Linked DNA regions of Caenorhabditis elegans. The protein of the gene in region 1 purifies or fractionates together with the protein of each later gene. This does not show direct contact. Each region holds a gene or a part of one and is shown in the gene's direction. Other genes may lie near its edges. The genes, in order: ZK1053.4, phy-2, ZK105.3 and clec-59.

Region 1 (7,644 bases):
TTCTGGAGCTCTATACTCCAAAAATACTGACATCTATGGAGACGGTTGCAGACGAGGAAGCGGAGAATGTGCCGGAGACGATGTGCGAGATTTTTAGTCAGGTTGGTGTGCAGAAATGTGCCCTCAAAGCTGCGAGATTCTGTGAAATCAAACTTTAAAGGGAGAGTTTACATTACGTAGCTATGCAGGCGGGCGACGGTATATCTAAAGTTTTGTAGAACTTTCCTGAAACTTCCAGGGAATTACAGAGGTTTCTCGAACTTGACAGAATGCTCTAGCTGTTTATAAGTTTATAGCAAATTCTAGAAGTTTCACAAGCTGATTATAAACTTCCCGAACTTCTCAAAGTTTCTCGATAGACCCCAAAGTTGTTTGAAAAATCAATTTTTGAATTCTCGCCCAATGGGTCTCGAAGAAAAAAGTAGAGGCTTCATCCGAAACATTGTGCCACCCGGGTTACTGTATATGTACTATCGTAGCTAACATTCTAAGTTAGTGCCGTAGACAATGACTATTTGAAAAATAGTTGTATCATTATATTTTCCCAGAGTCTCGTCCCATTCTTCCTCGGTGGCTGTGGATCTATCTCGGCTGGCCTCTTGCTCACCTACGCCAACAAAACCATGACACTAGTGAAGGAAGTTCCCGAGTTCCTCGTCCTAATGCCACCACTTCAAGGTCTACGTGGTAACCTGGATATGACTTTCTCTTCAAGAATGTCAACACTAGCTCATAAAGGAGAATTCAACGAGCCAGATATTTATTTGAGAGTCAGAAAGAATGCTGCAGTGGCGCAGGCTTTATCAATTCTCATCTGCATCCTGACCAACTTGATTTCCTACTGCATCGTGCAAATCACACCGTCTTTGGACAACCCGACACTTGCCAACTCGACAAGCTTACAATCAATCCACAATGACACCTACCACTACCTAGACAACAAGGAAACTGCACTGTTCCTGACGGGATCATCAATTCTCTCGGTTGCACTGAACTGCGCGATCTGTACAACATGTAAGTCTCAATGTCTTAACTTTGAAAATTTTTTATAATATAAAAATTGTTTCAGTCCTCTTCACAATAGTCTACTGTGCTTGGAAGAATGATTACAATCCTGACAACATTGTAGCTCCACTGGGCGCTAGTATCAGTGACATGCTCACAATCGGCTCGATGCTCTTTTTCTGCTATCTTCTTCGTCCATATTCGGGGTTTTCAAGTTCGGTGCCGGTGGTGATTGTTGTGGTGGCAGCGTGTAGCATACCTCTATGGATTATGATAGCATGTAAGTCTCTTTGTCAACTTTTTTGATTTTCGAAAATCTTAAATTTTCCAGGGAACGACGAAGATGCTCTGCGCATTGCCAAGCAACAGTGCTTCACTCTGGCGTTTGCAGCGATGGTCAGCTGTGGTGCGGGTCTACTTCAAAGTAAAGGTGCGATGACCTACCCAAACTACCCAGCATATCAAACACTCATCTCTGGACTCGCTGGAAATCGAGGAGCCGTCCTTGCATCAAGGATATCATCACATCTAGAAGTACACAAGACATCAGACCTGGGATGGAGGCAACGTGCATCGCCAATTAGTTACTACAGATCTGCGAGCTCAGAGTCTAGAACTGCGAGGCTTCTGTTGTTCACGGCGTTACCGTTTCAAATGTTCTTTGTCGGGCTCTCGACTGCAATGTCATTTGTGATTGATGAGCCGGTGGAGACGGATTTCCGGTTTTTCATTGCATATGCACTAGTAGTTTTGATTCAAGTAAGTTGATCGTACTGATGTTACCCCCTGTGTAGGGTTCCTGCATGGTCATAAGCGTAATGTTGGGTTACTGTAGATCAAGATTTGTAGATCTGTGATCAAGACTTTCCACACAGAACCTCCACTTTTTCCAGCAATCCACAATTCTCTACCTGGCCCAGCTGATAGTCTTCGCCTTCTGGTCATTCGGTATTGATCCGGACAATCATGCAATTCCACTTCTGACCTCTGCTGCAGACGTCTGCGGATGCGGATTACTGTACCTCTTGTTCTTATCGTTGGATAAAGGATTTCGGTAGGGATATCACTTTAATCTCAATTTCATGATCAAACAATCTCAAAAACACTAATTTTCAGATGCGTCAAAGTGGAAAGTTTTTGAGTTCGACCACATATGCCAATTTTTCAATAAATATACAAATAGTAAAGTCGAAGATACAATGTGATTGCTTTTTCCTCATTTAAAAAAATTAGCTATGAATAAATTTGTCTCTAAGGCAATTTTTTTTCTCAATTTTTTAGGAATTTACTTATTGTTCATGGGGGCTCAATTCTGACCACAATTATCAACTCAGATTCTTTTCTCTAAAATTCAAATTTGATGAGAATATTGCATTTTCCCATTCTTTCACTGTACTCTTTAAGTGATACCCCCTAATGTTTTGTCTCCCGGGGAGAATAGGTCATTTATTCATACACAGTAGTGTGCCCAAAAAGACGCAGTGACCTGGCCCCTTGCACATTCTGTACATACAACCTTAATAGATACACTAAGAAAGTACTCTCCTCTGGTGGGGACAGTCACATTTTACTGGTCTGCTCTTTTTTGGTATCAGCATGGAAAAACCCCTGTGTTATCAATTATTTTAGATTTGCCAAAAGTTTTCATTTCAGGCAATGTGCCGATTTGCCGGAAATTTTTATTTTGGGCATATTTCCGATTTGCCGGAAAACCCTTTTGCCGCCCACCCTACTACAAAAAATGTATCTAATAATTTTTAATAATACATTCTCCAACAAGACACATCTTTTGTCTCTCTCGGTCAACATTTAAGATCGATATCTTGGGTTGGCAAAAGTGTAGCGTACACAGAGGACCATTGCGTATTGAACGCGTCCTGACCTCCCAAACAGTCGTTACGTCATCGCACTGTTGCCCTCTCTGTCCACTTTTTAACACGTACTGCAATCTCCTTTGTTTTTAAAATATTCTGTTACAAGTTTTTATTTCAGGTCTTGTAATGCAACCATCTACCGTTCCAACGGAAACTTTGCAAAGTCGCATGTCGGGATTCAATGAAAGACTCAAAAAAGCGACGAATGTAACGGAGCAGGTAGCAGTTATGGAGGATATGAAAAAGGATTCAGAAGTGTACGATTCTTGGTCTAAGGTGAGATTGGAATTTAATTTTTATCACGTTTTTATCTCATTTTTTCCAGCATCGACAAGCTCAGCTGAAATACGCTTACACAAGTTTTCCCACAAAGTTTAGAGAAATGATGGGAGGGTCGAGTATTCGTGAAGAAGAAACAGAGGAAATCGATACACAGAATTCTAGCGAGGTAGGCATACAATAAACTATTCAGTAATGCGAATATTCATATTTTCAGACCGAAGAGCCGTCCATCGCCGATGCTATAGCTAGTCGTCAAGAATTTTTGAACAAACTGGTCGAAACCACGGATCAGTTGATAGATATTACTGTAGACAAATTCATTTCTCAGCTGAAAAATTGTCATGTTCGTTTATTAGACTGTCTAATGCTAACTGAAAAAAAAATTTCAGATTAGAAAGCCCGAAACCCCATCAGAACCAAGCCGCGAGGCTTCTCCCGCTCCAAGACTTTCAAGCCCATTTGAAAGAATTATAGACGAGACTACGGAACTTCTAGCAAAATGTGCATCTTCCGGGCCCCCTGATCATTCACTACGGTCATCAATTCTAGAAACTTTATTCAGCGAAATTAAAGGAAAGTCTTCTGATGTTTCGTTAGTAACAATTTCTGAAGAATCAGAAAAATCAGAAGAATCAGAAGAATCAAAAGAAGGTAATTCAGAATTTTTTGTACAAGCAATTTAAAATGTATAAAACATGTTTGGCTAACTATGGGCAGTGTAAGAAAAAGAATTTCAAAGCCATCAAAAAAAAATTTACGCGGAAATTCAAATTTCAATTTTAGCTCACTTTTTTCTTAGCCCACAAGATTTTTCCAATTCTGGCAAATTGACGTTTGCCGGATATCAGATTTGCCGGAAGTGTTCAGAAGGATTTTTTTATAAGACGGAAACACATCAACCAGTGCCATTTTGAAATTTTTTTCCCGGTTTTCTTTAGATATTTTCCCAAAATTTTTTTACTTTTCAATATAGATGTAGGAACATTTATAGGATGCGTACAATTTTACCGATTGAAATTAAAATTCTGAAATTTCCAAAAAAAACTGTGCAAAACCACAATTCGCCGAAAACAGGCAAATTCAGAAAATCGACAAATTGCCGGTTTACCGATTTGCCGGAAAAAAATCGTTTGCTACCCATCCCTGCTGTGAGTTCAAAACGCGCGGCTAGAGACCATTTTGTATAATTGTGCCTCCCTTCAAAATCGTAGAGGAAGAACATGCATAGTACTACGTATAGTATGTTTCAACAGCTGCATTAATTGACTTCAATAGGTAATTTTCAGATAAAGGCTCTCAATCTCTCAACACATCATCGATCTCAACAGAACCTAGTCCCGTGCAAACATCAATTTTGAAACCTCCTCCAATGTATCCTGAGACTGCAAGTTTCCCTCATCGTAAGATACGATCAGGTGCATACTCACTGTATCCACCTCCACAGCCGAGCCAGCAATTCGTTCATTCTCACAATTTTCACCAACCAAAATTTGATGCATCTTCAATGTTATCTACTGGATATTGCCCTTCACGGAATGTTGCCACTTTTAAAGTGGACAAACCTTACGGTACCGTATTCACTTATGATCATCAGAATCGAAAGTTCCAAGAGCACTGTTGTGTCGAGTGTCGGGAACAGATTGAAGAAAACGATTTATACCCACTTTATGCAGTTTGGTGTGAGAAAATCTCGAATCATGTGATTTTTATGGAAATTGGATTCACCGAGGAAATTGGACAATTCGTCTTCTCCTTCAAAACTGGAGGATTCGAGCAGGTTGATTTTCCGGAACTGGTTTTCTCTGAGCACGTGGAGTACAATGGAAGCTTTGTCGCGATGATTGCAGGAGAAGGAGAAGACAAGGTGATCATTGAAAGGGACGAATCGGGAGAAAAAGTTAGAAAACTTCTTCATAAGTTCGGGCACTCGGTTCAAATCCCGTATGCTCCTGTCAGACCATTATGGATGCAAAAAGCTGAAGAACCCGTGGAAGAAGACGTTGAACCGGAATCTGACGCTGAACCTGAGGAGACATTGGATGCTGAGCACGTATCCTACATAACCTCACTTCCCACCTATAAAAAAGAATACTGTCAAACCTATGAGATGGATGTCCTTTACATGCTTCAACCCAACGGCCAGTACCTTAAATATTCGTTGAACGACGATGAAAACGAGCTGAACTTGCATGTATGTGATTGTTGCAAGACTGGAACCACTGAAAATGATCTGATCCCAAAGTACTCCGAATATTGTGCTAAAACTTGCAAATACATCATCCACGTCCAGAACCAATTCACAGAGAAAATGGAGACATATGCATATGATTGTGAGAAGAAGCGATTCCATCAAGTCACTTGTCCAGGATTAGTATACGATTCGGAAAAAGTACAGGAGGGAAATATTTTCTTTATACTAGAGCAAAATTCCATGCAGGGAGTCGAAGTAATTATGAGAGATGATGATGGACAGCTGAGAAAAGAGCAGTTTTGTATGGTGAAGAAGCAATTCGTGAAGCTTCCGAAAACTACCGTCGCAACGTTTGCCGTGCAGATTGCTGAGAAGAAAATGAAGAATCTGCTGCCGAATGTTGAGATTTTTCTTCCTTGGCCACAAAGATTTACTCCAAGTTTGTCACAATGTTCTTCTGTTCAAGCAATGGTTATTCCAGGTTTGTGATTGTTACTATACATCATTTTTAGAAATATTACAAGACCAATTTTCAGAAACAAATCACCAATTGATTTCATCGCCACAACCGACACCATCTGAAATTGATTGAAAATCTTCTATTTTTTCGTAATTTGTAAAAAAAAATTTGTAAATTCGAACATTCTCTGTCTTTTAATATCTGAAATTTTCTTTGTAACGTTGCTTTTTTACAATAAAATACCTTCAGTCGATTTGTACTAAAACAACGTTTTTATGCCAGAATTTTTGCGCAACAATTTTGTTCAAGAGAACAACAAAAAATCAGCAATTCTATGTTTTTGAAAGAGGACAAAATGTACTCGGCGTTTGCCGCCAGCTTCCTACCCAAGGCTTCGCAACTTCTTACCCAAGCCTTGCCCAAAAAATAAAAACATTTATAAGGAGTTGCCAAGACTTGGGTAAACCTTGGGCAAGAGTTGGGCGCCGCCACAAAAATGAAAAAAGTCGTGGTCTGCCTCGTCGTTTGGAGGCGTCGCCCAAGTCTTACCCAAGTCTTACCCAAGTTTTGCCTATTTCTTACCCAATTTATACCTGTGTGTTGAACTTTGATCGCATTTCCTGTTGTTCCGAAGAATTACCTGCTGAGCCATGATGGTCGCGCGAAAAGATGCACACTAGTAATAATATATCGTACTCATATTCTGATAGATATTTTTGAGGAAGTATCAGACATATCTGATTGATACGGTATTCTCACATACCTTATTTCATATGTTTTCAAGTGTGCTCCCTAATGATTCTAAGTTCAGAATTTACAGAATTACTGTAATTCATGTTTGTTTCATGTCTTTCAATTTTATAAAAGTTTACATTTCAAAGGAACAGTTCAGTCTTAGAAAAATTCAAAATTTGATGCATAGGATTGACTGACTATTATTTGACTATTGGACTGACTAGGAGAAGAATCATCCTGAAGATAACTTTTCTTTTTATTTTTAGATGAATTAAATGGTTTATTAGACAAAATGGCAATAAAAATCAAACTTTGATCGTACATTTTTTTAAACAATGTTAGCCATCAGAGAAAAATATTTAGAATTTGCCTTTGAAGGGACAAGTTTTCCTGTGAATTCTTTCAATTACATTGAAATTCCTCTATTTTAAATACAAATTAATCAAAAGACAAAGTGTCGATTTACGCTAAACATTGCGCATGCGGGATTTCGGAATCTTGTTCGTTCTTTACATCTGCAAACTTGGGTAAGAAGTTGGCAAGACTTGGCTAAGACTTGGGCAAGACTCGGGCGAGGGAGTTTACACTAGAATTGTTGAAGTTGGGTAAGACTTGGGCATACGCTGGGTTAGAAGTTGGCAAGAGTTTGGTAAGAAGCTGAAAAGGCCCAAACTTGGGAAAGAAGCTGCCGGGAATTGCCGAGTACATATGCGTTTTTAGTTTTTGTAGGTATAAACATTTGAAATTAATTTTTTACCTCTTTTTGAAATTTTGAAAAATTGATAAAGTCCCGACGGTCTCCTTTAACTTAAAAAAAACAAAATTTAGGCCTTTCTAGATTTAAAAATTCAATTTATCTCTCTTTTATTATATTAGTAATCTCTTACGGCTCACGTTAAGCGATGTGCTCCGAAAGCAGCTACTGGAAAGCCGCACATGGCTGATTGGCAAACAAAAAGCGGCTGAACAACCGTAGACGACCGACTCAACGGCCAAACAGCAGATGGAAATTCACTTTATTCGAGACTTTCTATGGCTTATTTTATTGTTTTCCAAGTATTCTGAGCCAAATGAATGAAAATACGTAGAATTTTGCA
Region 2 (9,749 bases), on another chromosome or scaffold:
CTTCACACTTATTCGGTTGTGCTGCCTTCCTTTTTTATTACTTTCTGTCTATAGTTTTCATCTTTATTTTACCTACATCTACTTCCTCTTGGCACTTCCCTTTTTCTGTCCTCTCCTCAATTTCTCATGTTTCACAACGAAACAAAATTCATTAGATTTGGATGCCTTTCTGCCCATCAAGCGAGAAAGAAAACCTGTTTAGCTGACCAGTTCCGTTTTTTTTAGATTTCTTTTGCCAATTCTATCATATCAATATGCTGATGAAGGAAATTGAAAAAGTAATTCAAATCTCTCCTGTTTTGGAAAATGGTTGGTACTTTAGCTGCCTACCTGAAAGGTTAAGATTGGGCTAGGCGCGTAGGTATAGGCTGCCTCATTGGCAGGCAGTACCAACTACGTAGGTTTGCCTAAGTCTAGATCTAAATCATTTTGAAGACTATTAAATGTTAGACTTCTTCCTATTTATTTTGTTCGCCCTGTTTTCAACGATGGAAAAATGAATTTCCAATATTTTTAATTTCAGAAACCGTATCAGTTGTAAAACAATTAATAGTTTTCTTCCGGTAATACCGGTCTCTGTCTCCTTTTCCAAATATCCTTTCATCCATCACATCCTCAGAAAGTTTTTCAATCCGCTTCTCCTCCTCCCAGTTGCCTAGTGCTTCTGGTCTTTCTCTTTCACCATCTGGCACCCGCTGATCGAGTGGTGGCGTCTCCTCATCCTCTTTCTTATTCACAAACATTACTACCAAACTGCAGCATCACAGTCACGTAGGCATCGGAATATGCACGTCGACTGCGCATCTGACACGTAGAAGTTGGAAATAAAGGAGGAAGAGAGAGACTGTGCGACAGGGTGTAAACCGTCTCGGCTTCTTCTCACGTCTGCGCCCCCATCTTATATAAAGATCTACACACTTCAGCGGCTTCGCGCCTTTTCAGCTTCCGTTTTTGGTTTTTCAGTCCGAAAAGTTGCCTTTTTTTAAGTCAAAAAGTGGCAAATCGCCAGTTATTCCTATATATATTTTCAGAAGATATCCAAAAATGTTTATTCAACAAATTTCTAACTATTCTTACACAGCTTTTATTGCATTCAAATGTCACAGTGATTTGAAAATGCAACATTTCTTCAATATTTCCAAATGTGTCGAAATTTTTATTTTAGAAATTTGGAAGTTTTCAATTGACTCATTTAATATTAGGTTAGGAAGTGTACCAAACCAAAACTTTGACTGAAACCTTTCAAAAATCGTAGAGGTGATTCAGAAAAGTTTTTAATTGTTTTATTGTGATTTTCGGTGATGTTGGACCATTACAAGTAAATTTATGCTTTTGCTAGCACACTGAAATTGTCAGGAAATTTACCGAAATTCATTTAACATTTATTTAATTTTTTCAAGACCTGAATTATCGTTTTGGAAGTGGAGCAACAAACTCCGTCTAAATCAAGATTAACTTTTGTTTTAATCAATTTAATAAATTTAATAAATAGCAAAGATCTATGAAAATATATCAAAGCTTTAGACTATAGTCTATAGCTGAAAACGCTGAAAATCAAGTTTTATCTGATTCTTTTTTTTTTCAAATTCTATGATTATTAAAGAATTTCATCATAATTTTTCTACTTTTAGCTTTTTATCTGACTTTGCAATACATGTATTGGTTAAGAAAACTCAAAACTTTGAATTCCCCCTAATTAATTTAATTAAATTGAAAACTAATTAATACCCAATTTCCTCATCAATCTCCAATTATCCTCACCTTCCCATTTTCATTCTTTTCATTTCCACGTCATCCATAAATCTTGCGCGATTCAACCTAGTTATTGGTATTGTTAATGGAGGTCAATCATCCACTGGATCGAGAAGACACCGTCCGTTCCTACGTGCAAAATCTAATTGAGAGATCGGAAACGCAGGCAATCAGGAAGTTTCTTCTTCTTCGAGAATCGCGCGACGCGGCGAAAAGACTTCCACATCACCTTAGACGGTCTGATTGCTTTTCTCTGTTTTTTTTAGCGAATCCGCTATTAATCTTGACATATATTCCAAAGTTTGAAGGTTTTATATTCTTTAGGAATGTGTACATTCTGTATTTTTAGTTAAAATCAAACTTGAAAATGTAAAAATTAAAAATCGAATGTCAGTGTATCATTTAACTTTTTTAGTCCAGGTTTTGAAATTTATAGTTCTAAAAATTCTAAGAAACCTCATTTTATCTGAAATCATCATGCTGTAAACAAGGGTTATCAATCTGTCTTGCTGTTGAAAATAATATTATTTATTCGCATTTTATCTAGTATATTTTTACCATTTTCTATTCTCTATTAACCATATTTACAGAATTTTAATAAGGCATAACCAAGTGAAATGTTTCCAAAAATCAGATGACCATACAGTTTTGGAACACTATGAACCTAAAAATTGAATAATTTTTTTAAAGTTTTGTATAAAAAGCTTGAAACGCATTTTGAACACATACATTTTCCACAAAAAAATACTGAGTTCATCTATATCTCTGTAGTGGTAATCTATAAAAGATTGAGATCTAAGGTGACCTCAGATATCCTTTTATATTTATTTGGTCTTTGAGGCACTAATCAAAACTGGAAGAGATAGTTTTTTGCGGTTTCATCTAGATTTATTCCTTCATATTTTAGAACTCTTGGAATTAAATTATTCTGAAAAAAAAAACCATTTTTTGAAGCTCCAGAGATAAGGAAAAAAGGATCACACAATAAATCACGTAGGCCTTTATGTAGGTACATACTTGTCTACCTGCCTACAAGGCGACGGACGTGCCTACTGGCAAAATGGGAATGAACTTTTCCCATATAGACAGGCGGTGTCTGGCCTAACTCTATCCTGCCTCCAGACAAGGTTGACAGGTGAATGCTAAACTCTATTATTCTTTGTCTATTCTTCTTTTTCATAAATATATTCATATAAATGTGTCACACAATGCAACTTTTGTTTATAAACTTCAACATCCGTTCCACGTACACCTCCCTCTTCATCATCATCCCCCCTCAAATTGTAAAAATATACAAAAAGTGCTGGTGCAGACGGCTGCTCTCTACACTTCTCATCTGCTGTGTTCATCTTTTTCTCGTAGTCTCTCACTCTCTCGCCACCGATTTTGACCTCGAACATGTCAGTTGTGCACTGATTTTGACCCCCTATTTCTCACGTTCTACAGCTTTTCAAATTTCGGAAACAAATCGATTTGTCTTTCAGAATGAGAGCAGTTTTGCTAGTCTGCCTTTTGGCAGGACTTGCTCATGCAGATTTGTTCACTGCAATTGCTGATTTGCAGGTGAGTAGTTAATCTATGATTATGTAATTAAGTTAGAGATTTCAGCATATGCTGGGAGCAGAGAAGGATGTAACAACAATCATCGACCAATATATCGAAGCAGAGAGAGCCAGGCTGGATGACTTGAGGAGGTGAGTACTGTAGAACTGCAAAATTGAGTAGGTTCCAGGGATAGAATGCCGTTTAGTAACCGAATTGTAGATTATAACAAAATTTCCAATTCTCAGAATCTAGAATTAAAATTTTCTGATTTTCATGTGTTGGGAGAAAATAAAGTTATGTTTCTTCAACAGATGAAAACATTTGCTACAGTAAAAATTAGTTTTTTGCTGATTGTTGAGTTTTTGATTCAAAATTGATTGAACTCCATATTTATCAAATGTCCCCTCTGGTAGGTTCGAAATATAGGTTTTTTTTTAAATTTTTGATAAAAAGTCTTCCACGTGGGCACATCTTACGCCTGTCTATTGCCTACACGATTACCGATTGACAAAGTACACAAAATCTATTGAACTTTTAACAAGTTATTTTTGATTAGACAGTCCGCAAGGGCCACCAAAACGCCACAAAAAATTCTTAAATTTCTAAATTGTACACACACCAAGAATAAAAATGTTCGCCAATACCAAGAAATACGTGATATCATGAAAGTCTCACTTTAACAAAAACTAAACATTTTCGGACATCAAGGTGACTCAAATAAACAAATCATTTTACAGATACGCTCACGAATACGTGCACCGAAACGCTCACGCCGAATCAGTTGGTCCAGAATTTGTGACGAACCCAATCAATGCTTATCTTCTCATCAAAAGATTAACAACCGAATGGAAGAAAGTCGAAAATATAATGTTGAATAACAAAGCTTCAACTTTCCTCAAGAACATCACTGATAACCGAGTTCGTAGTGAGGTCAAATTCCCAGGAGAAGAGGATTTGAGTGGAGCAGCAACTGCTCTTCTGAGACTCCAGGATACTTACAGTCTTGATACTCTTGATTTGTCAAATGGTATTATTGGAGGAGAAAAGGTTTCTAATAAGCTTTCTGGACATGATACTTTTGAAGTTGGAAGATCTGCATATAACCAGAAGGATTATTATCATTGCTTGATGTGGATGCAGGTTGCGTTGGTTAAGGTAAGCCTGGTTTAGAAAATACGGCTTTCAAGCCGAACCTAAAACCAAAAAATATGAGCACTTAAACGCGTAGGCAGGCACGCAGGAAGCGAAAAGCATTTTCAACTCCATTTATTCGTATAAAAAGTAAGTTTTTTGCTGCTTGAGATTTGTAATTATGCACCACTACGAGAACTATCATATTAACGGTGGTTTCTTTGTACTTACTCAATTTTTTGATTGATGATCTATCGTACCTTAAGCTGGACTTTTTCCATAGCAAAATTCCAACAACAAATCCTAATCAAACATTTTCCAGATCGAAAACGAGAACCCACCAACAATTGAGGAATGGGAAATTCTCGAGTATCTTGCATATTCTCTTTACCAACAAGGAAATGTTCGTCGTGCACTTTCTCTCACCAAACGACTCGCAAAAATTGCTCCAAATCACCCGAGAGCCAAAGGAAATGTGAAATGGTATGAGGACATGCTTCAAGGAAAGGATATGGTTGGAGATTTGCCACCAATTGTTAACAAGGTTTTTTGCTTAGTATTTTATAATTTAAATTTTTGTTTGCAGAGAGTTGAGTACGATGGAATTGTTGAGAGAGATGCATATGAAGCTTTGTGTCGGGGAGAGATTCCACCAGTTGAGCCAAAATGGAAGAACAAGCTGAGATGTTATCTGAAGAGAGACAAGCCATTCCTGAAGCTTGCTCCAATCAAGGTCGAGATTCTTAGATTCGATCCATTGGCTGTTCTTTTCAAGAATGTCATTCATGATTCTGAAATCGAGGTTATCAAGGAGTTGGCTTCTCCAAAGGTGCGAAAATTAGATTATTCGATAGTTAAGTTAGAAATAAAGTACGGTGAATGGGGATTTTGTTTTAAAATACAAAAAGAAACTGAAATTCCAAAATACCACCAAAATATGGCAAAAATCGAGAAATTGCTAGATTTCAAATGTGACTAATATTTTCATTCGAATTCCAAACATCATCCAAAATGAGAACCCCCTTGAAAAATAATGTTGTTCAAATATCGATTTTTGTGTGGTATTTCTGAAATTCTGACTATTTTGGGTATTTTAGTACAATCTTCCCACTCACGCAACTATACCTTTCAGTACAATACTGAAACTAGAAATTGTATAATTTTAAGCTAGAACGTGCTACAGTAAAGGATTCTGATGGTAGCCTGGTTACTGTAGACTATCGAATTGCCAAGAGGTGAAAGGTATTAAACGTTTAACTGTACAGTAACATGCTGTGAACTTAGAAAATTAGATATTTGACTTACTGATTTCTTTTTCAACTTCTATTCTTTCTCCTTTGTTGCCTGAAGTGTGTTATTTTTTAGCTGAAGCGAGCAACTGTCCAAAATTCGAAAACTGGCGAGCTGGAACATGCCACGTACCGTATCTCAAAAAGGTTTGTGCTTAAGTTTTTTGGAACGGTTTTGTTTGATTTATTTTGAGTTGAAAGATTAACTAAATCAAGTTGATTATCAAATTTCTTGAATCAAAAATGTTTCAGTGCTTGGTTGAAGGGAGATTTGGATCCAGTTATTGATAGAGTCAACAGAAGAATTGAAGATTTCACCAATTTGAACCAGGCTACTTCAGAGGAGCTTCAGGTAAGCAAGAGCCCTGCAACATGGCTAAGGCCTTTAAGAAGGCACATAAATGCCTGCGTACCTGCCTCATGCCTTTATGATAGGCGTTAGATAGGCAGGCAGGCAGGTACGTGCTTGCCGACTTTGTGTTGAAACGGAAATGCGCACTATAGTTATATATTTTCCTTGTGAAATCCTCTCGGGCAATGAATTTACATTATTTTTTCGAAAGTTGCCAGTTTCTCGTAATTTTGAGAAAATGTAAAATGGGGATTAAATTATTTCATAGACTTTCTTGATAAACTTTTAATTTTCAAAGACAAAACTCGAAGAATTCTTGAAATTCTAAAAATCGAAAAATCGTTTAAAATTTCCATTTTTAGATATTTTCGTTTTTTTACAAAAAATTGAAAATTCCTTGTGTCCATTTTTGAGTTTTCTAGGCTAGTCACATCAGCAAAAAGGTCTAAAATGCCTTCAATGCCTACAGCCTAGAATATAGGCATTAGAGGATTCCCCAAGTTTTACTAAAAATATTAATTAAAGTTTATAATATTTTCAACAAAATTGTTGCTGTTTCAGGTAGCTAACTACGGTCTTGGAGGTCACTACGACCCACATTTCGACTTTGCCCGGGTAATAACAATTTTCAATTCTTTTTTATAATTTCAGATTGCAAATTACGGTCTCGGTGGTCACTATGAACCACATTACGACATGTCACTGGTTGGTTTACTGCCTTCCTGCTGACTTGTCTTGCTGCTAATTTTCAGAGAAAAACTGCCGAATCGTACGGTGGAAATGGTAATCGTATTGCCACTGTGTTATTCTATGTGAGTTTTCGATTCAATTTTAATTTTCCGTATTTTATAGAAAGAAGAGAAGAATGCATTCAAGACGCTCAATACTGGAAACCGAATTGCGACTGTTTTATTCTATGTGAGACATGTTTCATTTATAATTAATGGTTAATAAGATTCCATCACGAACTTTTTATTTGCATGAAAATTCTTTAGCTGTTATTGCATGAGGTGTGCTAATCCAAAAGTATGTGATGGAATCTTAACGTTTGAACTTTTAAATTTGTGATTTTAGCGCGTGGGAGCTGTGAGAAAACGGAAAATTTTTAAGGGGTCTTAAAATTTTACTGTTGATATTTAAAAATGAGGTTTTATAGTTTTTTGGCTCTATCGAACAATTTTTATTATTTAATCTAATAATTATCTTCTTTTTATGATTGTTTAGCTGAAACTGATGTATTTTCTAATGCCTACTTCTGGAAATTCGATAAATTCGAAACTGAAAATAACAATATCAAAATTTACTTTAAACTCAAAGAGCAAAAATCGTTCAAAATATAGTCAAACATTCACTCTCAAGATTTTGATTTTTTTGAAATTTTCAAACTTATTGGGTTCATAATTTTTACAAATAAATAGATGAAAAAATAGTAATATTTGAAAAGTTTACAAACTGATGTTTATATCCTTTTGGTACTGACCTAAATTACGAGAAAAGTGTGTGTGACGTCACATTTTACAGACGCGAAAACCCGACAGTTACTGTAGATCAAACACATTGTCAGATAACTAGAACGAACCCTCTGTTTCTCCTTGAACCAAACAATTTTTTTCAGATGAGTCAACCAGAACGCGGAGGAGCAACCGTCTTCAATCATCTTGGAACTGCTGTATTCCCATCGAAAAATGATGCTCTCTTCTGGTATAATCTTAGAGTAAGTGTTCATTTCTATTTTTCCTCGCAATTTGGAAATATTTCAGAGAGATGGAGAAGGAGATCTTCGTACCCGTCATGCTGCTTGTCCAGTTCTTCTAGGAGTTAAATGGGTCTCAAATAAATGGATTCACGAGAAAGGACAAGAATTCACAAGACCATGTGGATTGGAGGAGGAAGTTCAGGAGAACTTTATTGGAGATTTGTCCCCATATGCCAATGATCCATAGATTTGATTTTTTACTCTCTTTTTTGTTTTTTTTTTTAATTTCATTGTTGCTTACTGGTGTTTCACGGTTCCAATATTTTATTTGATCGCCAAAAAATGAAAGTGTTCTGGTTTTAAAGAATGAGTTTTTGATATTCTGAAATCTAAATTCAAAGCTGTTTATGCCTGCTTCATGCCTGCCTACATCAAACCTACATCAAACCAAGATTATAGTCATGTCTACTTCATGACTATAATCTTGCCTATCTATGTTCCTACCTATTCAAAATATAGTCCAACATTTAAAAATCCTGTGAAAAAATCACGGTTGTGGCTTGGATTAAAAATGATTCGATTCAAATCAGCATAAATATCTCCCTACGTGCCTGCCTGCCAACAACTCTAACAAACATGTAATTGTACCTGATACATACAGTTTTTCCTTGCCATACTTTATTAAGTTAATCAAAAATTATTTCAAAATTATATGGACAAATTAAATATTATTAACTTTAAAAAGACTTTTAATTTTATTATTTTCCTTATTTTCTTCTTCACTTCCTTGCAACGCACTCTTTAAGTCATTCTGGAAATTTGTTTTGTTGAACTCGATCTCGAATTTAAGCAGTTCAATCATTTCGTTTTTCTGAAATTATAGTTTTAAAATTTAATTCCATGTAAGAAATCCGAACCTCTTTAATAATCTTTCTGGCTTGTACCAAATCATCAACCAACTCATTTGCATCTTCCTCCGCAAATTCCAATGATTCCAGTTTTTGGCTCAATTCCTTTATCACCTCGTTTCGCTCTTTCAGTTTTCTCTGAAGTCCACCAATTTTTGCCACAAAATCTCTTTGATGCATTCGAATTTTGATTAAATGATTGCTGATTTTACTTCTCTCTATTTTCATCTCCTTCTGGTGCTCTTTAATCATTTCCTCACTAGACTCGCACATTAATTTTAGTTGGTAATGAGCCTGCAAACGTTGTATATAAAAAAGAATGTCAAGATGCCTGCCTACATGCCTGCCTACCACCTAGCTCTATACATTTTGGCATGCATTCAGGAATTTAGTGAACCTCTAGAAAGTAAAACTGGGAAAATTTCCAAAGAAAATTTAGTTAATTTTCACCAAATTTTCGAAAGTTTTTTTTTTTAAAGTCAAACATTTTCCAATAAAATATTTCGCATTTTTTTCAAAAAAAACACATTTTCCCAAAAAAAATTCGATCCGTTCTACTGTCTATTTTAAAATTTAATAAATCTTCTCAGCTTTAAACACCTCTTAATTTTTTATGAGGGGCTCCAATAAATAGCTTGAGGGGAACACGATTATTGGAATTTACTTTTGAAATTGAGAAATTTTCAGACTCTCGAGAATTTCATTGATAATGCTAATAAAATATTCAAAAATATAAAAAAAAACAACAAAATTTACCTTTGCCTTTTCCTCAACTATTTGCAACATTAACAGAGCTACAGTAACCGCGTACAGTAACCCGAATAGAATCGGGAAATTATCCATTGAAAGTGTCATATTCCCGTCTTGAAAGATATTAGTTAACCACGACATTATAAAATAAAAAGATTGTCTTATAAGATAAGTAACAAACGAATGAATGAGCCGGTCGTCTTAGTCAACGGGTCAAGTGTTTCAGCCGCGTTCGTGAATCAATAAGAGCTGGAATTGCCTCCTGGCATTAGTGACTGTAGTCCACACTTTCTACTGCCTAAATTATCCATACAGGGCAATGTGAT
Region 3 (8,496 bases), on another chromosome or scaffold:
TTCCCAATAAATGTTTCCAGAATTTTACAACGAGTTGTGGGAAAGCTGCTGTACTATGGTTGATAACATTATTTCCCTTCCCTTAAGCAAAAAAAAATTCAAAAATTTAGACACTGAACTTATCTATAATTTGATCTATCTAGTAGTAAGTAAAACTGGGCAAACACTAATTGACTATCTTTTCTTTGACTACCTTTGCTCATTGACTACCTTTCGGATCATTGACTACCTTTTGCTCATTGACTGCCTTTGCTCATTGACTACCTTTCGGATCATTGACTACCTTTTGCTCATTGACTACCCTTCGGCTCATTGACTACCTTTGCTCATTGACTACCTCAGATCATTGACTACCTTTTGGCTCATTGACTACCTTCAATTGCTCATTGACTACCTTTATCTAATTTTTCAGAATTTTCAGTTTATTTCGCTGAAAAATCAGAATTTTCAATAACATGTTACTTTTTGATGTCTAAGAAGGTCGTGCACTTTCTCATTTCCTGATATTCCGGAAAAAATAGAGATGAGATCTGATGTATAAATGCTCATTGACTACCTTCAAATGCTCTTTGACTACCTCTATCTAATAAAATTTTCCAAAATTTATTTTTTTGAAAACTTTTCAAAATTTGATCAGATATTGTAGAAAAGTGCAATTTTTGTCGTTTTTCTAGTTTGGATGTTCTGCACACTATTGCAGACGAAAACCTGAGGTATAGTAGAACCCCTAAGCTCAAAAAAACGCACTCACTTCGGATGCTGATATCTCCGTGGAAAAAAAATTTATGGCAAAGTGATTAACTACAAAGTTGTATATCTTAATCTAAAGTGCAACTTTGTAGTTGATTGTTTTTTCTCAAAAAATTTGTTGGTCGAGATAAAGTTGTGTAAAGTTTGGCACCTTCATGCTTGTATTTTCTTCTTCTTTTTCTGTTCATATCTCATCCAACAAATTTTTTGAGAAAAAACAATCAACTACAAAGTTGCACTTTAGATTAAGATATACAACTTTGTAGTTAATCACTTTGCCATAAATTTTTTTTCCACGGAGATATCAGCATCCGAAGTGAGTGCGTTTTTTTGAGCTTAGGGGTTCTGCTATACCTCAGGTTTTCGTCTGCAATAGTGTGCAGAACATCCAAACTAGAAAAACGACAAAAATTGCACTTTTCTACAATATCTGATCAAATTTTGAACAGTTTTCAAAAAAATAAATTTTGGAAAATTTTATTAGATAGAGGTAGTCAAAGAGCATTTGAAGGTAGTCAATGAGCATTTATACATCAGATCTCATCTCTATTTTTTCCGGAATATCAGGAAATGAGAAAGTGCACGACCTTCTTAGACATCAAAAAGTAACATGTTATTGAAAATTCTGATTTTTCAGCGAAAAAAACTGAAAATTCTGAAAAAATAGATAAAGGTAGTCAATGAGCAACTGAAGGTAGTCAATGATCTAAGGTAGTCAATGAGCAAAAGGTAGTCAAAGAGAAGGTAGTCAATGAGTGTTTGCCGTAAAACTGGCAGACTCCAAAAATGTCGGGACATGTGTGACACCTGCTCTACAACTCACACACATCATTCAGGCATTTTTGATTCCCAAAAATACATGAAAAGTCCACATGATATAAATTTTTAGACCCCCGACAGATAACGGCCAAATTTTACACTTTTGGATCGTTTGTATTCGATTCACACTTTTAAGAATGAAGAACTGCATGTCGCGAATAGCATGGAGCAGGATCTCCATTATTCACGACTTAATAATTATTCTATAATTATTGCATAAGTATTACTGTAATTGAACTCTACTGGCGAAGATCACTACTACGAACAATCCACATCCACATTGCTCTGAGAACTACATCATGCAACCAAGAACAAGGACGTCAATCCATTAAACACGTGAACCACTACCGCATGCACAAAAGGATGACGGACGCGAGCAGCCACGTGGTGACCTTTCCACGTCTACACCGACGACCACAAGACACGTGTACAACACCGCCCAACAGGAGATGCTCATCGAATCAGTCTTAACTTTTTACTCGCTTCATGTTCTTACTTTATGTTCTTGCGTTACTTGTCTATTAGTGTTACTAGTTGTCTATAATAAATCCTTGTAGAGTCACCAAGTGTACTGTTAGTTTAACTTATATAAAATACCACTGAACGCACTGCAAAACACTGCAGGCTTTCTGGAAAATGTTTTACCGCTTTTATACCGCTTGTAAATAACTTTGTTTTAAAAAATGAATATTTCAAAAATTTACTGTTAACCAAATAGTCTTGATTTGCATGATTTGCATGCAAATTTACTGTTAACCAAATAGTCTTGATTTGCATAAACTGATTTTTATCAATGTGGAATCTATAATAATGGTTCATATCTTTTCATTAACATCCTAGATTTACTGAACGATTTTTATAGTTGTGTTTCATTCAACGAGTTAACTAAATAAACATTTATAGTGTCTTGATAACTTTCCTCCAGAAAAGTGATAATGAAATTCTACGGAGAAAGTACACTTTTTGATCGACAACAAATTGCATTCTGAAAAATTATTTCCTACAAAATGTATGTACCACGAATGTTGCAGAAAAATCTTATCCTTTTACTTTAATTAATATTTTAATTGAATTAAACTATTTACTATTAGGGCTTTTGATGCCTGACTCATGACTGTTTTGGCCAATTGTTTGCATTTTGATGTCAACTCTTCTCAGACAAACGCTTAGTCGTCTAATTAGATTTCAACCAAATATAATGGGGACATAATTCATATTTGTTTAGAAATTCATGTTTGATTATATTTGCTCCATATTTTATTATAAAATCCATGTTACATTAGATTTGTTCCATATTAGATTAGAAATCCATATTTGATTAGATTTGTTCCGTATTGGATTAGATTTAAACCAATTTCATTAGATTTGTTTTATATTGGATTGGATTTCAACCATATTTGATTAGAAAATCCATATTGGATTAGAATAGGAAGCCTATTAATTATGTCCCCATTTGGTTGAAATCTAATTTTTGGTTGAAATCTAATTAGAGGACTAAGCGTTTATCTGAGTTGTGTTAAGTGTTTGCACATTGTAAAGGGTTATCTCTTTATTTTTTCTAACTTTGAAAGAAGAAATGGTTGAAATTCACTTCTATGAGACCAATATGACCAAATATCGTAGAAAAACATTTCAACCTTTTTTGAAAACTTATTATTATGGTCTCATTATGTTTTAAATATTAATATTCAAGCACATTAAATTTCTCAGGGAAATTTAATATTAGAATGGTATCCATCATATTGAGTTATAGGGGTCTCAAAGCAGCTGGGTTCAAAAGCAGCTAGCTGGTCATATAAAGAGACCACCACGTTGTAACTTCCATGAACATTTTGTATGTTCTTAAAAACGCCAAGTCGATCGCCGGACATCTGAACTTGTCTATTGTGACAAATGTCTCATCTCACTCTATCTTTTGTTTCTTTTATATAGATTCTAAAACAAGTATCAAGTGTTTATTCCACGAAAGTAATTTCAGATGAATTGGTCGATAAAGGCGTTGCTGTTTATTTCCTGCGCAACGACATTTTGCTATGTTGCACTAATGGGAAAAGCGGATCTATCTGCAAATGTAAAAAGAACAGAACTAATATCACCAGTTGTTGAAATAAAGAATGGAAATAAATGGATTGTTGTCACAAGTGTCAGTGCTCCAACTGAAGATGTTAAAGTAAACCGGTTCAGTGGTTTCAAATAACTGATACCATTTTCAGAGACTATCTTCATTTCCAGACTGGAACTTAGTTGTAGTAGCAGATACTAAAACTCCATTGGATTGGAAATTGGAAAATGTGCATTTCTTATCAGTCGAATATCAGAAGCAGTTGCGTGAGTTAAACATTGAATTCAATTTTTAATGCCAAATTTATATTTACAGCATTCTCCATATCTGCATTGCTCCCCTATAAATCATACACTCGAAAAAATATAGGCTATTTGTATGCAATTTCTCACGGAGCTGAATGGATTTATGACACGGATGATGACAATAAACCATATGTTAAGTTTACATTTTTTCAAGAATTTTTGTCCCATGAAATATCTGCTAATGATGGCATGTAAGATCTATGGGAACATTTGATTTCAGGTCAAGGATTAAAGCAATTCGACTTTGATGACACAATATCGGGAGTTCGGTATCGGCCTCAAATGAGAAGTGAGGAAAGAATATTGTAAGAAATTTCAAATATTGTGATTGCCTTTCATAACAGTTTTCTAGAAAACGACTTTTCAATCCTTACCGATTTTATGGAATGGATCAAATGTGGCCAAGAGGGTTTCCATTGGAACATATTGAGGTGGGAAAAAGTTAAGAGACAAAGGAAGACTTATGTATTCCTGTACGAACCTTCGCATTATTAATTCCACAGCGTGTTTTTTTATTTGTTTTTTAATATTGCAAAAAAACCAAATGACTTGTTTTCTTGAAAGCAATTATTTCCAAAAAAGTGAAAAAATTTCAAAAACGTTTAGAAACACACGAATGGGAACGATTCACAAGTATTGTGTTATCAAATGAAACGAGCAGCTGTGCAACAAGGTTTAGTGCGCCATGATCCGGACGTGGACGCAATTTATAGGTATGGAAAACTTTCAGTTATAAAGAAAATGTATAGAAATTTCAGACTGCTTCACGCTGACACTAAATCTGGTTTAAACTTGAAATTCAATAAGTTTGCTCCTCCCATAACTTTGTCCGTTGGCACATATTCTCCATGGAACTCACAGAATACATTGTTCCACAAATCAGCATTTCATACTTTGTTCCTCCCGACTACGGTGTCATTCAGGTTTACTATAAAATATTTTCATGGTTGACTTTTGATATTCCAGAACCACTGACATTTGGAGATCTTTTGTTTCTCAGAAAATCTTGCATTTATCCGGATTAACAGTGTCATTCGTACCAACAAACGCGGTACAATTCAGGAATGCGCATGACTATTTGAAAGATTTCAAGGACGAGAAACAAGTTTATGAAGATTCTGGAAAAATGATAGAATATCTTCATGACTGGAAATGTGCCCCTGAAAACTCTAGCGATTTGGAGAGATGTGTGAAACAGTTGGCTAATGATCTAGTTGAAGTGAAACTGTGGGGTAAAGAGGATGCTATGTTGACGGAAATGTTTTTGAACGATTTGAAGAGAGTGGGGTGAGTTGAAAAGAAAATGGAAGATTCTAGAAACGTAAAACAAATTTTCAACTAAAAGTTACATATCTGATAGTGAGTTTTATTATAAAAGTGAGTTTTAATATAAGAGGTGATTTGTAAAAGAAAAGAAACAATTATACATTTTTCACAAAAAATGGTAAAAGCGGTATTTTCAAATATACTCTTCTACTATTTATAGATTTGAATTCCCCCGCATACTTGATGGAAATTACGAGGATCCTTATACTCCATCGAAAAACGAAACCTCTAGAGATGTGAATTGCAGGAGAATGCAGCTAGACTTTGAATTAAAAGAAACAAAGAAAACTGACCTAGATGAGGTGGGAAAATTAACTCTCAAAAATGTATGAAACATGTGATATTTTATCTATTCATTCCAGAATGTTCAACGGGCTACTCGGAAAATAAATTATTTCGGAGATATCGTTTACTGGTGTAACGAAACTGATTATTCTAGTAAGTGTTCAATGTATGATTTTCTAATTCAGTATTCTCAGACTTAACGAATCAGTTCCCTTCTCCAGAGCAGCTTTCCAGGAAGCACGAAAACTCGTATGTTCTCAAAAAGAACTTAAACACGGTATGTTTGTCATTGTTAACCCGTTTTAGTTTTAAAAACAAACAACATAAATTTTTTTAACACAATTTTCAGGTCCTAATAGTTGTCAACAATTACCCATGGAAATATGGAATGGGTTTATTTCAAAGACTCTACGAACCATATTTTGCATCGACAATTTTCTGCGGTTCCTGGTATCCGGAAAATTTTACAAACGTTGATAACTTTACATCAACTATTTTTCCAATCAACTACGTTCATGTTAACCCTGCTGAAATCCACAAAGGATATTTTGCATATCATTGTGTCACTTTGGTTAAAGAAATGCGACTTAGCAATGTGGAAGGATATTTCATGATGGCAGACGATGCAATATTCAATATCTGGCAAAGAATTGATTACTCGAGAGTTTTCCATTTGAATGGAATCTACAACATTTCAAACGTTTGGTGGAGCGGAGATTATGGTGATTTGAAAATATTGGAACTTTCTTTTAGGTTTCTCCTTGTATTGTTGCAGGAAAAAAAGCAGCTATCAACATTTTGAAAACTATCAAAATCACTAACAATACAAAATTTCAAGATGCATGGAACAAATTTGACAAAGGATTGCAAAATTACGCTTTCTTCAACTTGACAGATAACGCAGAAACACAAATGCTGAATCCGATTGGAAAAAGTATCTCAGATTTGTGAGTTATGATTGCATCTTACTTTTCGGTAGGGTAAAGTTACACATGATTTTTGTGCACATTAGAAAAAACAAGTGACACATTGTTCACATCAGGGATGTGCGGCAAATCTCAAAATGCCAATTCGGCAAATTCGACAAATTCGGCAAACTTGCCGCACGCCCCTGGTTAACATATATCACAGTAATAATTCAAATTTCAGTTACTATATTCCCACATTACAAAGCGAGTACTATGCCAGTCTTATGCGGTTATTCTATGAAAACCAATTCTTCTTGGAAATCGCAGTGAATAGGTTTTTGCGATCCGTGGATCATTCAACGTAAATCAATTGTAAGCTGATTGTATTTATATGCAATTAAAGTTCAGATCTCTCTATGCTCGAACCAGTTATCTTTGGACAAACCGTGAGAAATGGGATACAGTTTATCACAAGAATATGGTTGCAATGCATCCTGTCAAAATTAGTAAATTCATGAAACCTGGTGCAGCTAGAAAGCGGTGAATTTTTTTTTCAGAATTTAGCAATAAAGTTCGAATTCTTGTAGATATTGCGCTTCAATACTTCAAATTTGGTCGGATATTATTTTCGGTGGATCTCGTAATTACACGGATAAAAGTGACGAAGAAATAGATTATATCAACGGGTTTCCTGTTAGACAGTTATATTAGTTATATTATTAGACAGTTATAGTTTCTTGAATTGAATTATGAATTGATCATTTTTTCTTAAATCGTTTATTGAAAGCATATGCAATTAAAAAAAAAGTGCACGTCAGACTTTTGTCAATTTTAGTTAAACTTTGTTCGCCTGAATAGTTGTCTGCTTATGAAAATGTACTTGTTGCAATTACTGGTCCAACTTGTTGACTTGATGCAAAAAATCTTGAAAACGCTTTTCGAAAGTCTCGTCTGTAGTTTTACAAATTAAAAAATCAACTCCTTGTAATCAAAAAAACTTACACAGTATAGCAAAATAAAGGGAGGGTGAAGCTTTGAGTTGAAAAGCTGATAATTCCAGCTGTTAGCTTTACAATTTGAATGCTTTCCAACGTGCTTTTGAAGTAAATGTTACCCATGAACATCACTGAATACGACAGAAACGCACCAAAGTAGTACATTACAGTGATTTTGATTAATGCTTGCACAATTGAAATGTTTGTGGAATCTTTAAAAAATCACATTACAAGTATTTCTGTTTGCCCGAAGAGTTTTTGCGCATTAAACAGTCCTATACTATTCCTATACTACAATCCTATAAACTCACCGTATTCCATAGCCTTCATCCGATAATTCACGAAATATTGCAGTGGGAATAAGATAATTGCAAATGAGAACGTTGAAACTTTGTACAAGTAGTACGCGTCGCCAAAACAGTTTGAAAGAACACAAATGTTTGAAGAGCTGGAAAACTATTTTTCAGTTTTAAGATTACAGCGCAAGTTCTACTTTTCAGTATCTTGTTGTAGGATAGCAAAGCCAAGAATCCAAAGAGCGTAGATAACTGGAAAGACGAGTAGAAATCCAATATAATACACTTCACAATGTTTCAAATTCTTGTATTGAATAGGTGTACACGTGGCAATTATTCTGTCGATTGTCAAAATAAGCGGCATAATTGTAAATGCGACAGCTCCAAAAGAACGCGGGATAGACAGGTACATGCAAATGTCTGGAAAAAAAATTATTTTGAACTCACAATCAATCTGTCTCAATTTCTAATATGTTTTTTTCTATAATTGCAATAACTTCTCGGTTTTTGAGTACATTTCTAGATTATTTTGAAAATAAACCAACCGCCAAATTTTGGGTACCCGGCCCCGCTTTTGTGTTTGTCTGTACAAAACTTATATGTGTTTCTGGCATGCAGGCAAGTTAAGCGAAATTAGAAAATTTTCACAGACAGATTATTCAAAAGTTCAGGTACCTTGTCGGAAAGGAACAATGATGGAAATTAATATTAGAGGTATTCCAGAAAACTGAAAAAGTTGAAAAACTATGG
Region 4 (6,325 bases), on another chromosome or scaffold:
AATTGATTTTTCAAACATTCGGAATTAAGAGCAATTTTCCAGGAATATGAAATCTATGTCATTTTAACTTGATTTAAGCAGTCATAGTGGTAAAAATATGCAAATAATTCATCGTGAATCTACGTTTAAATTTTAAAGGAAATTATGAGAGAGTGCTATATTAAAATGAAGCAAAACAATTTAGGAAGCAAATATTTTTGTCTTCAAAACTAAGCATTTTACTATATTTTTTTCTGGTTTTCAGAATGTCATAAAAAATATATTTAGTTAAGTCAATTCCAGCAATAAAAACATTCAACAAACTTTTCTACTACATACAAGCTTCGTTGCAAAATATCGCCTTTGAGTCGTCTGAGTGGACTTTCATTTTTCACAAGTAACGATCCTTTTCAATAGTTGTTGAAAAACATCAGAAGTTTCAGCGCAAGAAGATGATATTTTGAAACCTGAAGAAATACTAGCCTGGAAACCGAAAATTGCTTTACATAAAGTGTGGTTAGTGTTTATGGGGAAGTTGTGCAATAACTGTTATCAAAAATATTTCGAAATCGCTCATTCGGTACTTTCAGTTATTGGCGCCAAAATACGCCGGAACGAGAGATAAGAATCTCTGAATTCGCCTGGAATGAATTCTCAAGCACATATGACCATTACGGGTGTGGTCATGATCTTTTCGAGCCGAGCTTGTGGAACTTTTTAATTGCTTTAGAAACGATTATACGATTTGTAGATCAAAGTAAACAGGTTTTCGGTAATTATCAGTACCGATTTCACGGAAGAGAGAGAGAGAGTAAGATGGACAATATAAAAGAAGTGGTGATAAGTGTGATAGAGCATCTTCCCCTCTTTGGCATCCTTGACTAGTGTTCAACCACTTTACTGATGAAGTTTCTTTGCCCAATTCCGTCAATTTTTGCCGATAGGGAATCCATGTTGGCGGCAAAAGGCCTGCCTGCCTGACCTCAATGCGACTTTGTTTTTCATTTATTTTTTTGATTTTCATAAAATAAGGCAGGCGCCTATCACGCCTGCCTGCTATAGAACATTGTTCAGGATTTGCGTTTGTTCATGTTATCATGTTTCAGGTAAAGGTTGGGCAAGAAGTTGGATTTCACTTTTATTGCAATTCTCACAATGAAACTCACATTTCTTATTGTCTTGATTGGAGTGTACGGTAGGTCAAATAGTCCCTCACAGAACTATAAAACTTTTTAGCTACATATCTGAAATCTAATTATACCTGCTTAAAAAAATTGCCTTAACTAAGTGGTCCCCCTCCTGGAAATTACGCTCCGCCACTTGATTTACGTTATTTCAGCGTGCTCTGCTCAGGATTCTTCCACAACTCCGTCTCCTTCCTATACCGACCGTCGATGCGGTGAAGACTTGGGAAATCTTTGGTTGGATGTGGTAGCTGTGGTGGACAACTCGATTGGAATGACAAATGGAGGATTGACAAGTGTAGGCAAACTAATTGCAAAAATGACTATTTTATGAGGAATTCCAGATTGCCGCTAATATTGCTTCAGTCGTCAGTAGTGGTACTCGAATTGGAACAAATCCTTCTGAGCCAAGAACCACAAGACTTGGATTAGTAACCTACAACAAAGCTGCGGCGATTGTAAGATTTTAATTCAATAGTTTTAAGTCACAATTGTTGCATCAAGAAAAACTACAGTAACTTCTTTCATGAACTGGGAATTATTATGTATTTACAAACTTCCACCAACCATACTCCACGTTATCAGTATCAAAATCTTCGAGACATTAAAAATGTTACAGCAAGCCGATCTTAACCAATACCAATCACTCGATGACGTCTACGATAATGTTTTCCGTGCTCTTTCGTCAGTCAGCACTTCCGAAGAGTCATATCTAGCAAATGGGCTTGCAAGAGCAGAAGATGTACTTGAAGCCGGCAAACAAGGGTACAACCGTACTCATTATCAGAGAGTTGTGATTGTCTATGCATCAGCTTACAAGTATGTTCTTTAGACAGTTTGTGCAACCATTTATTGCTTGTCTTTAGGGGATCCGGAGCCTTGGACCCAGTGCCAGTTGCTGAAAGACTGAAAACTTCTGGAGTGACTGTTATTACTGTGGCATATGATCAAGACGGAGACGGTGCTCTTCTTGCAGATCTGGCAAAGATTGCATCTCCACCATACAACTTCACGAATACCGAAGACAACGGGCAAGTTATTGGAGAGATTCAGGATGCTTTGCTGCAAGGTTTGTTAAAGGAACTTATATTATATAGCAATACAAACTATTTTCAGTGAACTGTTTCTGCCGAAACTCGTGGATTCAATACCGTGTATCTTACACTGATGTTCACTCCTACCGCTACGGTGTCTGCATTCTTCCAGTCGGTTTCAATGCGGTATGGCGCGCTGCCAAATCTTCATGCATGAACCGAAATGCATATCTTGTCACTGAATTCGATTCGAACAAACACGATTATGTCCTGACTGCAGTGAGCAATTACACAGGATTCAGTGTACCTCTAACTTATCACAACGGACTCAGTATGGTCAAAGGTGTCTGGGTATGGGATCAACCACAAGGAATGCCTCAACCACAGCTTCAAAGTTATGCAGGATGGAATCCAGGATATCCCATTTCGGACTCTACTCTCACAGGAGTTCTGAATCAACAATCAAGTGTGCAACTGCAGTCTGGATGGCAGAATATCAAGCCACTGACGACTGGAGCCAATTATGTTTGTGAAACGGCATCTTGCGATACTGATAATTACTGCACCGAAGCTGGACTTGCTGAAATTTCCGTAAAACACTAATATACACGATACATACTTGTTGTTGTATAATAATAAATTCTGATTCTACAGACCGTATTTATTTTATTAGTACTGCTTCTCCCTCTTTGTAATAAAAATTTGGAATCCAGGTGTTTCAAACCAACGAATAAGCGGACTTTTGGTGACTGGATGGCAGAATATTAAACCATTCAATGCAGATGTTTGTGAGACTGCGTCTTGTGATACTGATAATTCAACTCTTAGTTTGTGAAGTTAAATTTCTAACAATCTAGCAAAAACTGAAATAAATTTATTCGGCTTTTCTCAATAAATAATTAACTTTCTTTTTTCTCTTTTCGTTTGCTACAACTTAAAAAATTTTTAGCAACACTGTTCACCAATAATTTTGAAGGAAAAATTACGTTAACCAATTGTTTCACAACAAATGAAATCTCCCGTACTTTTTCAATTAGTACGGCATTTCAAAACATTGCAACTACTTTTCAAAAATAGTAGTACGAAAATAAGTTACCAGTGGTGTTATCAGTTAAATAATTCCTCAATACAACAAAGTTTCATCCGTTGGTTTTTTTTGAAAACAAGAGACAGTAATAAGGTGTGTCTGGGATACTTCAATTCAAACATACACTCTGCATCTTGTGTATTATCATTTTAATGAAACTTCCATGTGTATAAAAGAGAGAATGAATTGAGAAAAATAATCATTCATTTGTTTGCAAAAATGAGTAAAAACATTTGTTTGCTCTTCTTCTTGTTTCATGGTAAGTCTTATTTCAATCAATTACCTGCCAAAATTAGTAACTTTTAGCATACCTTTCTTCGTCCTATACGGATCGCATATGTGGACAAGATTTGAGTAATTTATGGTTGGATGTTGTAGCTGTTGTGGATAACTCTGCTGGAATGACCAAGGGAGGATTGACAAGTGTACGGTAATTCTAATCAAATTATTCTATTGAAAAGAGCATATTTCAGGTCGCTGCAAATATTGCTTCCATATTCAGTAAAAATACACAGATTGGCACTAATCCGACAAGTCCAAAGACTACAAGACTAGCACTAGTGACATACAATGTTGATGCCACAACTGTAAGCGTTTCCCTAAACTGTTGTTCCTCATTAGTATTGTTCCAGGCGGCGGATCTAAACAAGTTCCAATCAATTGATGATATCTATAGTGGAATTAACTCTGCTTTGGCAACAATAAGCTCTTCTGAAGAATCATATCTTGCCAGAGGGCTTTCACAAGCCGAGAAGGTTTTTCAAGCGGGAAAGCATGGATTTAACCGTGCTCATTATCAGAAGGTTGTGATTGTATATGCATCTACATACAAGTGAGTTGCATTTTTTGGAATCCCAACTAAAAACCAAAAAATTTCAGAGGAAGTGGAGACTTGAATCCAGTTCCAGTTGCTCAACGCTTGAAAACCTCTGGAGTTACAATTATCACCGTGGCATATGATCAAAATAAAGACGGAGACATTCTTGTTGATCTCGAGAAAATTGCAACTCCTTATCACAATCTCTCGAATGAAAATTTGAATGTTATCGGAGAAATTCAAGGATTTTTACTTCAAGGTATCTCAAACTGAGTTGATTTTATAAAGAAATAACACGTATTGTTCAGCAAATTGCTTCTGTCCAACTTCTTGGATTCAATACCGTGCTTTGCATGATGACGTGGATTCTTACCGTTACGGAATCTGCATTCTTCCAGTTGGATTGACTGCCGTCTGGCGTGCTGCTCAATTATCATGCCGTAATAGATGGAGAAATTCATATCTTCTCAATGAATATGACAACAGGAAACACAATTTTGTTATATCATCTGTCAAAAACTTCTCTGGTTTCCATTTTCCATTAAGCTATCACATCGGACTGAACAAGGTCAATGGAATGTGGCAGTGGGATCAGCCACAAGATTGGACACAACCACAACTTCAGAACTATGAAATCTGGAATTCAGGATATCCAATATCTGATTCCTCGTTGACAACTGTTTTGAATCGACAGACAACTGTTGATTTGGAAATTGGATGGCAAAACGTTCATCAATTCGCAGCTGCCTCCAACTATGTATGTGAAACTGCTGCTTGTGACACTAATAACTACTGTTCCTCTGGAGGTGATTCCATTTCAAACCATTAGTTTTATATGTAATTTATTATTATTAATGTTGATTTTCTTCATACTATGTACAATTGTTGTCAAACAAATAAATTCAATTCTTTGATTGCTTTTAATTTAATGAATAAAATTGTGAGACAAACTTTAACGATCTTTCAGTTATACTGATTAATTTATTGATTAGGAATTAGAAAGGACAACAATAAAAAACACGGGAAATTTTGCTTTAAGCGGAAAATTACAAAATATTGAACAAGATAAAAGGTAAGAAAAAATAAATAAATGACCGGCAAATGAAAAGTACAGAAAACAAATTGGCACTTGGAGAGTTGTAAGAGTTAATGAGAAATTATTGAAACTTAGAAGTATGAGTAGACTTCTTCTTGATTTCCTTGGCGAGCTTTGGGTTGTAGAATGGATTGGCAACGAGTTTCATAGTTGTCTTGGAAGCAACATATTCTGGATCAAAGAATGGGTTTGGAATGAGATGGGCTGGAGCAGGAGATGTTGAAGCTGATTGTCCAGTTGAAGTGTCTCCACTGCAGAATCCGGAGTCCATTCCAGTGTCACTGAAGCAGGCATCATCGGAGAATTGTTCCTGATTGGCCAAGTTCTCGTAGTAACGGTACTCTTCTTGTCTCTCCATCATGAAAACAGCCATTTTTCGAGCATGCTCATCAAGGCAAGATTTCTGATGAGTACTGAGACGCTTATTACGGGGGAAGAATTGGAAGATGGAAGCATTGTTGTAGAGAGCAAAGGAAGGAATTTGAGTGTATTCCATTTTGGCAATAATAATAGGAATTAAGAGCAAAAGGCAATGAGAGCTAGGTAGCTAACAACTGGAAGATTTCCAGAATGAATGATACTTTTTCATTCCGGTTGTCCTTATATAGATGGTCCGGTGTGCCACGCTCCTTTTGGATATTAACCAGCGTCTGGCCATTTTCCCACTGTGACAATAGGAGATATAGGTGGGGGATACCTTGCACCTTTTACGATGGGATAGTTTTGATGTGTGGCTATTATTGATCGCTGTAAGTGGGGAGCTGGATGTTCAGACTGGTTCGATCGTTATCTTTATAGATCTGGAAAAAAAGCTTTGTTCAAAAAATGAAAATATCAAGGACGATGGTATTATTCCTGTTGGGGGTGACGATTATATTCACAACAAAATCATTGAGATTGTGGAGGCGAATATTGTTCCGGCATATCTGGGGAAAATATTAAATAGCATAAAAATAAAGTGTTACTTCAAATTTGGGGATAATTGATATAATTTCTATATTGGTTTTTTTTTAAAGAAGGGTTTTTTCATCATTCCCTTACAAAATATGCTATCCTATATTTTTTGAAGATGTTTCAATGATTGATCCCTCTTTGATAATATTGAATCAAAACTACATTTTTTTTTTG

Evidence for each region.
Region 2: the proteins of ZK1053.4 (region 1) and phy-2 fractionate together in Caenorhabditis elegans (co-fractionation; one large-scale study listed by BioGRID). This does not show direct contact.
Region 3: the proteins of ZK1053.4 (region 1) and ZK105.3 fractionate together in Caenorhabditis elegans (co-fractionation; one large-scale study listed by BioGRID). This does not show direct contact.
Region 4: the proteins of ZK1053.4 (region 1) and clec-59 fractionate together in Caenorhabditis elegans (co-fractionation; one large-scale study listed by BioGRID). This does not show direct contact.

What each region holds. Positions count from the first base shown.
Region 1 is NC_003279.8:13,238,664-13,246,307, forward strand, and holds ZK1053.4 (SET domain-containing protein), read left to right. Parts: upstream 1-2,991; 5' UTR 2,992-3,005; coding exon 3,006-3,155; intron 3,156-3,204; coding exon 3,205-3,327; intron 3,328-3,375; coding exon 3,376-3,504; intron 3,505-3,550; coding exon 3,551-3,812; intron 3,813-4,447; coding exon 4,448-5,833; intron 5,834-5,888; coding exon 5,889-5,944; 3' UTR 5,945-6,067; downstream 6,068-7,644. Other genes in the region: ZK1053.6 (SLC41A/MgtE integral membrane domain-containing protein), read left to right, coding at 1-101, 549-1,014, 1,070-1,285, 1,337-1,764, 1,899-2,063.
Region 2 is NC_003282.8:12,209,475-12,219,223, reverse strand, and holds phy-2 (Prolyl 4-hydroxylase subunit alpha-2), read left to right. Parts: upstream 1-3,236; 5' UTR 3,237-3,237; coding exon 3,238-3,315; intron 3,316-3,360; coding exon 3,361-3,446; intron 3,447-4,034; coding exon 4,035-4,452; intron 4,453-4,750; coding exon 4,751-4,972; intron 4,973-5,014; coding exon 5,015-5,257; intron 5,258-5,543; exon of another isoform or gene 5,544-5,564; intron 5,565-5,793; coding exon 5,794-5,864; intron 5,865-5,969; coding exon 5,970-6,069; intron 6,070-6,630; coding exon 6,631-6,684; intron 6,685-6,921; coding exon 6,922-6,987; intron 6,988-7,684; coding exon 7,685-7,783; intron 7,784-7,829; coding exon 7,830-8,012; 3' UTR 8,013-8,127; downstream 8,128-9,749. Other genes in the region: F35G2.3 (uncharacterized protein), read right to left, coding at 8,487-8,636, 8,683-8,967, 9,430-9,516. UniProt on the Caenorhabditis elegans protein: Catalyzes the post-translational formation of 4-hydroxyproline in -Xaa-Pro-Gly- sequences in collagens and other proteins.
Region 3 is NC_003283.11:7,693,595-7,702,090, forward strand, and holds ZK105.3 (Glycosyltransferase), read left to right. Parts: upstream 1-3,547; coding exon 3,548-3,739; intron 3,740-3,782; coding exon 3,783-3,897; intron 3,898-3,946; coding exon 3,947-4,068; intron 4,069-4,155; coding exon 4,156-4,241; intron 4,242-4,288; coding exon 4,289-4,367; intron 4,368-4,542; coding exon 4,543-4,649; intron 4,650-4,694; coding exon 4,695-4,859; intron 4,860-4,902; coding exon 4,903-5,223; intron 5,224-5,422; coding exon 5,423-5,564; intron 5,565-5,624; coding exon 5,625-5,700; intron 5,701-5,741; coding exon 5,742-5,824; intron 5,825-5,896; coding exon 5,897-6,269; intron 6,270-6,322; coding exon 6,323-6,494; intron 6,495-6,696; coding exon 6,697-6,816; intron 6,817-6,863; coding exon 6,864-6,995; intron 6,996-7,042; coding exon 7,043-7,166; 3' UTR 7,167-7,220; downstream 7,221-8,496. Other genes in the region: srsx-40 (G_PROTEIN_RECEP_F1_2 domain-containing protein), read right to left, coding at 7,454-7,662, 7,762-7,898, 7,944-8,158.
Region 4 is NC_003280.10:10,476,627-10,482,951, reverse strand, and holds clec-59 (VWFA domain-containing protein), read left to right. Parts: upstream 1-3,503; coding exon 3,504-3,543; intron 3,544-3,590; coding exon 3,591-3,709; intron 3,710-3,757; coding exon 3,758-3,871; intron 3,872-3,916; coding exon 3,917-4,116; intron 4,117-4,163; coding exon 4,164-4,360; intron 4,361-4,409; coding exon 4,410-4,930; 3' UTR 4,931-4,948; downstream 4,949-6,325. Other genes in the region: clec-60 (VWFA domain-containing protein), read left to right, coding at 1,135-1,174, 1,319-1,461, 1,508-1,621, 1,783-1,982, 2,030-2,232, 2,280-2,800; ZK666.4 (Pepsin-I3 domain-containing protein), read right to left, coding at 5,259-5,693.